2 linked regions of the Cricetulus griseus genome follow. The protein of the gene in region 1 purifies or fractionates together with the protein of each later gene. This does not show direct contact. Links are inferred from orthologs where the notes say so. Each region holds a gene or a part of one and is shown in the gene's direction. Other genes may lie near its edges.

The links.
Region 2: the proteins of Pbxip1 (region 1) and Slc27a1 purify together in Homo sapiens (co-immunoprecipitation; 3 studies listed by BioGRID and IntAct, with this or other methods). This does not show direct contact. The link is inferred for Cricetulus griseus from reciprocal best matches to the Homo sapiens genes PBXIP1 and SLC27A1.

What each region holds. Positions count from the first base shown.
Region 1 is NW_023276806.1:65,108,623-65,113,025, reverse strand, and holds the start of Pbxip1 (pre-B-cell leukemia transcription factor-interacting protein 1), read left to right. Parts: upstream 1-1,403; 5' UTR 1,404-1,498; intron 1,499-2,481; exon of another isoform or gene 2,482-2,558; intron 2,559-4,076; 5' UTR 4,077-4,110; coding exon 4,111-4,164; intron 4,165-4,403. UniProt on the Homo sapiens protein: Regulator of pre-B-cell leukemia transcription factors (BPXs) function. Inhibits the binding of PBX1-HOX complex to DNA and blocks the transcriptional activity of E2A-PBX1.
Region 2 is NW_023276806.1:247,956,129-247,959,932, forward strand, and holds part of Slc27a1 (long-chain fatty acid transport protein 1), read left to right. Parts: intron 1-2,165; coding exon 2,166-2,375; intron 2,376-2,460; coding exon 2,461-2,587; intron 2,588-2,676; coding exon 2,677-2,814; intron 2,815-2,884; coding exon 2,885-3,049; intron 3,050-3,336; coding exon 3,337-3,483; intron 3,484-3,804. UniProt on the Homo sapiens protein: Mediates the import of long-chain fatty acids (LCFA) into the cell by facilitating their transport at the plasma membrane.

The sequences.
Region 1 (4,403 bases):
AAGCATTCTTAAGAACTCTATGCCCTGCCCGGCGGTGGTGGTGCACACCTTTAATCCCAGCATTCGGGAGGCAGAGGCAGGCGGATCTCTGTGAGTTCAAGACCAGCCTGGTCTACAAGAGCTAGTTCCAGGACAGCCTCCAAAGCCACAGAGAAACCCTGTCTTGTAAAACCAAAAAAAAAAAAAAAAAAAAAAAAAAAAAAAGAACTCTACGCCCTTATTCCCTAACCTGCCATGTCTAACACCCCACCTTTTTAATAATAAGAAAAGGTGGGAATGAAAGGTGCAGGCATAAAGCTGGCCTGGCTACCTGGCAGAATCCACTCAGGCAGTACTCTGGTCAGCCCAGGGTTCCATGAGAACTAAGTCTGCAGGGAGGTGTAAAGGACCCCTTTAAAAGACAGACCCCCTGCTCACTTATGCTCTCTTCTACTACACCCTCTTGGCGCTCTCTCTCTCTCTCTCTCTCTCTCTCTCTCTCTCTCTCTCTCTCTCTCTCTCTCTCTCTCTCTCTCTCTGTGTGTGTCTCTCTGTCTCTCTCTCCTCTCTGTCTCTGTCTCTCTCTCGCTCTCTCGCTCCCCCCCCCTTAATAAACTCCATGGTTAATGTATCTCCTGGTTCACGTTCCCTAGCTCGAGTCTTTAAACAAGATCACAACACTGGCCTTAATCACCCTCTTGTTTCAGTCTCTTAGCACAGGGATTATAGCACCTCCTTTTTTTTTTTTTTTTTTTTAATGTGTTGAAGGCAGGCACGTGCACAGTGCACCTGTGGAGGTTTCACCGCACCGAGCCATCCCACTGGCTGGCCTCTCTTTGTTGTTGTTGCTGTTTGTTTGTGAGGCGGAGTCTCACTATATAGCCCTAGCTGGTCCGGAACTCACTATGTAGAACTGGCTGATCTCGAACTATAGAGATACACCTGTCTCGGCCTCCCAAGAGCTGGAGTTAAGGGCGTGCACCACCACGTTTGGCCGCCCTCCATTCCATTTTCAAAGCAGTGGCACCTTCAGTCTGCCCGCAGGAAGGCAGGAGTGCTATTTCTAAACCCACAACTAGCACCGGACCCATCCCCCATACTACAGCTGTCTCTGTCTATCCTGGGGCCAACATGGCACCTGGTCCTTGCTATCTCATCAGACAGCACCTTTCAGTTTTAGATCTTCCTATTAGACACTAAACATTTCGAAAAGGAGCGAGGTTCCCCACCTCAAAAAAAAATTAGTTTGTTGGGGATCACATTCGCCCACCAAGAGATAAACCAAGAGGGAAAGTACTGCTTACATCTTCTACCCCTACCCGCGCCCCGCCCAGGAGATCAAGTCCACCTTTTATTGGTCAAAAGTTCCCCCTACCCTCCCACCCGTGCGGAGAAGGCGACTTTTCACTGGTCAAACACCAGCCACGTGACTCCCCCCCCTTTTTTTCCCCTTCCTGGGCTGGAAACCTGGGGAGGTTGCAAGAAGTTAAACTGAAGACAGAAGCGAGAGCTGGGTCAGGTAAATCCCTAGCTGGAATGGGCCGGCAGACCCCCACTTTATCCCCCTATAAAAAAGGAGGGCAGAGCTGTATAAAAGGAGTGGGCACCCCCCCCCCGCCCCCGCCCCGGGTCCACACACTGCCTAACACAGGACCTAAGGGCGGGGAAGGAGGGAGACGGATGAATCCGAAGCAGGAACTCAGGCAAGTTCTTGTGGTCCCAGGTCCTTCCCTTTAAAGGTCAGAGAAGTCTGTTAGAGGGAAGTGTGCACCAAACCAGACTTCACAGCTTTGTGCAGAGTAGGAGCACTGTTTTTTAGAAACAGCAGGAGTCAGAGACAATCCTGACAAGATGTTGTACCCCGTTTGAGTGAAAAGGGGAGCGTAGGGAGCTGGTTTTCTTCCTAGAGGTCAAAGAGTCCTGAAAACACAGCTGAGAAGGATGGCAGCTAAGCAGCGGCACAATTTCTTAGAGGGCTTCCTAATAAGGCATCGATGTGCTAGCCTAGGAGAGCAGGGATGCGTTCTGGTAGCAGGGTTTGGGACCCTGAGTGCAGGAGTTCCAGGAAGTCCGCTGCTTAGGTTTCAGAAGGTTTGTCTTGTTGACCCAAATACCGTACCATTGCTGGTTTCCATGGAGACAGTAGGTCTGACATCACCCTGGTTGCCATGGTGCTTAGTTCTGGAGGACCTGAGCAGGCTGTAAACAGCCAGGGATGAACCGGGGACTTCTGCTCAAGCTGCTGCTGCTTCCTTCCTCCTGTCACCTGTTAACAGTCACACACAGCAGCTGGGATTGGGACAGGGCAGTAGAGGGAGGGGTGAGACCAGAGAGCTGGACAAGGATGGCTGTGTGTGTGTGTGTGTGTGTGTGTGTGTGTGTGTGTGTGTGTCACTAGAGGAAGGGGGGCGTAGGGAGGTTTTTTGGGACCTGGTATAGAGAACTTACCGAAATCATTCTGTCTCCCTGTGGGTTGGGTGCTGGTGTCTCACTGGCACTCAGAAAGACACCATTAGACGTCCTTTATCACCTATCTTGGACTTGAATCTTGACTGGCCAGAGCCACAGAAGTTTATAAGGTAACCATGAAGGGCTTAACCCTAGCTGGAGTAGATAGATAGGAAGCATTGGCTGGTTTTGAAGGTAGAACTTCCAGACTCCCCCACCCCATTTTCCCTTCTCAGTGTTCTTCAGTCATCTTCACCTTCTGCCTTTTCTGCTACCGGGGAAGGCAGTGACTTTTCTGTCTCTGACCACAGTCCAAGACTCTGTGGGTCAGCTTGTCTGTCACTCCATCCTCATGCCTGATCCCAGATGCAACTCCATAGCCCAAGGGCACAGCCTTGCTTAATGTGTGTGTGTGTGGGGGGGGGGGAGTCATACCTTAACCCTGGTTGTCCTTCAAGCTGATTAGCAAGGGACAGGACCAGAGTCCCAGTCCCCCACCCCTTTTTGTTGTAAATTGTAATGTGATTTATGGATGGTAATCGCCACAAATCCTTCTCTCCAGTCCCTGAGATCAAGATCCCTGAGATCAAACTCTGTAGAATTTACAGTGGAGAGAAAGCGAAAAGGAGCCTGACTAAATGTACACCCAGGAGGACTTAACTCTCCCAGGCCTGCTGGGCCCTGCAGTATCAGAAAGCTTCCTGCCTGGCCTGATTCCACTCACGTCAATGGCAGTCTTAACTGAGCCTTGCAAAGCCAGTGCTGAGAACCAGTAAACCAGAAGTTCTCAACCTTCCTAACGCTGTGACCCTTTAATACATACAGTTCCTCATGTTGTGGTGACCCCCAGCCATAAAGTTATTTTGTTGCTACTTCTTAAGTGTAATTTTACTACTGTATGAATGTAATATAAATAGCTGACAGAGGGGTGTGGCCCACGGGTTGAGAACCACTCGCCTAAACCAAGAGTGGAGGGTTGATGGACAGATGGGTGCTGGGACACTTGGGCCTTAAGGAGACTGGTGGGTCTTCTCTTTGGGTTCTGTGGGAGGACGCTAGGGACTATGGAGGACCCAGGTATTGTGAAAGGGACCCAGGTTATTTCCCTCTCTCCAGTCAGTCAGCCTCTCTGTGATGCCTCCCCACTGACCAGAACACCAGGGGGTTGGACTTTTCAGCCTTTGGCCTCTTTGACCTTTCAAGGTCAGTGCAGTTTCCCAAGGCCCTGTGGATCCTTGGAAGAGGCAGCTTCCCTGTGGCTTCTAGCAAGAATACTTCCAGGAAAGCATGGGATTAGGGCAGAAGGACTGAACTGGCCTGGGTTTTGGAGATTACTGCCCTGCTTTTGATGCCTGGAGTCCTACTTCTGCTGTCTGCCTCCCCTGATGGGAGTTCCCTCCCCTCTTCCTCCTCTATAAAAATTTTTATTTATTTATTTTTAAGATTTATTTTTATTTTATGTAGATTGGTGTCGTGTTTTGCCTGCATGTGTGTCTGAGTGAGGGTGTCAGATCCTCTGGAACTGGAGTTACAGACAGTTGTGAGCTGCCATGTGGGTGCTGGGAATTGAACCTTAGCCAGTGCTGTTAACTGCTGAGCCATCTCTCCAGCCCAGGGACTCCAATTCTTAAGAGAGCTTTTCCCTGCAGGTGGCCACTCTAGCAACCCTGGACTGCCACAACTATGACCTCCTCCTGCCCAGACTCAGATAATAGCTGGGTGCTTGCTGGCTCTGAGGTAGGAACAGTGGGCCTGGGAACTACGTGGGAGGGGGGACTTCCACAGGAGTGGACTGCTTTGAACCGGAACCTGCAGGAATAAGGGTCCCAAATGGTGAGGTGTTTAGTGGGAGTGTCAGGGATTGAGGGATAAAGAAGACAAAAGCAATAGCTGGGACTAGGAGGTCTTGTACAAGCTGATGACTTATGCCAAATAAATTTATTAGGAAGTACAGCATCTTACATACTATCTACAAG
Region 2 (3,804 bases), about 180 Mb from region 1:
CTCTGTATCTATCCCTGCTGTCCTAGAACTCACTATATAGACCAGGTTGGCCTGGGATTCACAGAGATCCACCTGGATCTGACCATTCCACAACATGTTGAACCTACATCAGACTGCCTGTGGTGAGGCATGCCCTGGTCACAGACTTCCATGACATCCTAGGGTCCCTTTGTCTGGACTCTTCAAAGGTTTTCAGAATCTGCTTACTGTCTGAAGATCCTTCAAAGCCATTTCTGTCAATTTGTGTATCTGTGAAAGACCCTGTTGGGCAAAGGGGCAGTGGGCTGAGGGGCAAAGATGTGAGGGGCAGAGCTCTGAGAGCTGAAGCTATGTTCAACCAAACACTGGAGGCCACTGGAAACCTCACCTCAGGGCTGCAGATGGAGCACCTGGCAGGTGGGACTTTACTTAGCTTCTGAGCCAGAGTCTTACTGGACCCGAGGTCCTCCTGACACATGCAGCGTGAGTGCTGGGATGTGGCACTGCATTGGGCAGACAGTTAGGCAGAAGGTTAGTGAATTGAAAGAGACCAAATCCAGCTGAAGTCTAAGCTTTTGAGAAAGCTGAAGTCTAAGCTTTCTCAAGGACAGGGTTTGAGTTCACAGAAATGGGAATGCTGCATAGGAACAGCTTCAGGTCATGTGACCTAGGGGGCTCTGCCCCACACTCCCTCCCTCCTCTCCTGTTCCCTCCCTCTCTCTCTACCCCACACTCCCTCCTTCCTCTCTTGTCTCCTCCCTCTCCCCGCTTTTGGAGACCAGCTCATGTACTTGCTGTCATGAACTTGCGATGTAGCCAAGGCTATGTGCCCCTTGGTCCTAGTGCCCTGTACTCAGCCCTCCATTTTGTTCGGTTACCCTCTCCACTGGGCTTTTCCTTTCAGTGGGGGGGGGGACACTGCCCCTGTCACTTCAGGGGAGAAAAAGTCCTTTTTCCAACCTTCCATTAAAAGCCCCAGTGAGCTGTGACCCCAGATTGGAGGCTAGGATGACACCTGTCATCCTAGCATTTGGAAGGCTGAGGCAGGAGGATCAGAAATTCCTGGACAGTCTGGGCTACAAAGACCCTATCTCCAAAGTCATGAATGGGAGGGGAGACTGCTTGCCTGGCTTGCCTTGGTTCTGTCCCCAGCACCGCAAAGTCCTCAGTGCTGATTCTCCTTGGCTCACACTGCTTGTGCCCCTCCTGTCACAGATGGTAGCATGTTATTATCCAGATGGCAGGTGGGATGCTGTCTTCCTGTTCCTTTGTGGGAGGTAGGAGGGAGGGGACCACAGCGGTGCTGGCGGGAGGCACTCCCTGTTCTACCTAGCTTGTCTCTGGGCTGCCATGGCTGCTTGGGGACATGGGGGGGGGCACACGGGGGACAGGGCAGGAGCCAACCTAGAGCTCAGGTGGCGTGCCTGTGACAAAAGTGTTTCAGCACAACAGTACAGTCCCTGAGGCAGAGACAGGATGTGGAGGGTAGAAGGAGAAATTTGGTTTCCTTGCAGAAGATGGGGAGGAGGCTGTGTGGCTAGCCTGGTTGCTAACCCTGAGAGGGTGACTGCCGTATGACAACTGTCCAGGGTGCCTGGCCAGGCTTCAAGTCCAATTCAGCCTTTTACTACCTCTGTGACTTCCTTGTTATTGTTGGCCTCAGTTTGTCCATCTGTAAAGTGGAGCATGCAGCTATTCAAAAGCCCATCCCAAGTGGTGGTGCAGCCCTTTAATTCCTACAACATGAAGCAGAGATAGGCAGATCTCTGTGAGTTAAATGCTAGCCTGGTCTACATACCGAGTTCCAGGTCATCCTGGGCTACATAATAAGACCTTATGTAAACGAAAGTTAGAAAAAAAAAAGTGAGGGAGGGGGAAAAAGAATTTGAGGATACCCAGGAGTTTACTGGGGGTGACACCCTTAATCTATGAGGCAATGGGCTCTGTATGCGGCCCTGCCCCAAGCTCAGGGTGCCAAGGGACAGCTGCTCCGGGGTGACGGCCCATCCTGCAGGGGTCAGTGCTGCCTAGGAAAAGGAGAGGCTCCAGCCACAAGGTGTGTCATGCCCTCTTCCGTCCCACCTCCAGCCACCCCACCCCAACCCCCGCAGGCCTCCCCGGCCAGGCTGGCCCCGCCTCTCCGCACTGCTGTTGACTGGGCGTTCCCTGAGCCCCCTCCCCCACAGGTAGTGCAGTACATCGGGGAGATCTGCCGCTACCTGCTGAGGCAACCGATTCGTGACGTGGAGCGGCGGCACCGTGTGCGCCTGGCCGTGGGCAACGGGCTGCGGCCGGCCATTTGGGAGGAGTTCACGCAGCGCTTCGGCGTGCGGCAGATCGGCGAGTTCTACGGCGCCACCGAGTGCAACTGCAGCATCGCCAACATGGACGGCAAGGTTCGCGGCTGCTCCCTCCCTCGGCGGGTGCCTCGGGGCTGCGTGCGTGGCCGCTCACTGCCGCTCACCGCCTCGTCCACCCCAGGTCGGCTCCTGCGGCTTCAACAGCCGCATCCTCACGCACGTGTACCCCATCCGTCTGGTCAAGGTGAATGAGGACACGATGGAGCCCTTGCGGGACGCCCAGGGCCTCTGCATCCCATGCCAGCCCGGTGAGAGCAGCCCCGCCGGTGCCTCGGGGAGCTAGGGTCCCCGCGGCACCCGCCCCACTCCGCTGAGTGTCTGTCACTCACTCCTTCAGGAGAGCCCGGCCTTCTGGTGGGCCAGATCAACCAGCAAGACCCTCTGCGGCGCTTCGACGGCTACGTTAGCGATAGCGCCACCAGCAAGAAGATCGCCCACAGCGTGTTCCGCAAGGGCGACAGCGCCTACCTCTCAGGTGCGAGCCGCGCGGTCCGACTGTCTGGCTTGATGTGAAGCTGGGTCCCACCTGCCCCTCTCCCCTGCAGGTGACGTGCTGGTGATGGACGAGCTGGGCTACATGTATTTCCGCGACCGCAGCGGGGACACCTTCCGCTGGCGCGGGGAGAACGTGTCCACCACCGAGGTGGAAGCCGTGCTGAGCCGCCTGCTGGGCCAGACTGATGTGGCCGTGTACGGGGTGGCCGTGCCAGGCAAGCTGGGGACGCCGGGTGGTTGTGGGGTGCAGAGAACCCAAGGAGTCCACCCAGAGGGGACATATACAAGTATATGCAAGCATACAACCTGGAGAAGTAGTTTCCAACTGTTTCTAACGCTGAGCCTCAGTTTGGGGGACCCTTAGGATCAGAAGGGTCGAAATGACCCCTTATGAAATGGGTGCTGTCAGGACCAATGTTGTCCCAGTTGGGAGGTCATAGAGTAGAGAGCCGGACGCTACAGGTGGGCAGGTGTTCTCAGCTGAACCTCCCTCCCTCTGCAGGAGTGGAGGGCAAAGCCGGCATGGCGGCCATTGCAGATCCCCACGGCCAGTTGGACCCTAACACCATGTACCAGGAGTTGCAGAAGGTTCTGGCATCCTATGCCCGGCCCATCTTCCTGCGTCTTCTGCCTCAGGTGGATACCACAGGTACAGCCCTGCCTCAGGAACCATTAACTTCTTTGTTCTAATTTAGACTCAGTCCCCAGTGTGAATGAAGGTTGACAGCCACCTGCCCTGGGGCGTTTCTTGATTTCCTGATGGACTTATCTGCTGCTCCTGGTCAGTTGGTGGGCACCTTGTTTCGTCTTTTGGTTTTTGCGTTGTTGTGACAATTAGGAAGCTGGAGAGGGGTGCGCTGCACATTCTGAGAGTTCTTTCTCTATGAATTGTCTTGTCTTTTGCCCCTTCCTGCCAGTATTTTCTTCCTGTCTTGAGAAGTGAAGGGTGTGAAGGTGTCCAGTGGGCAGC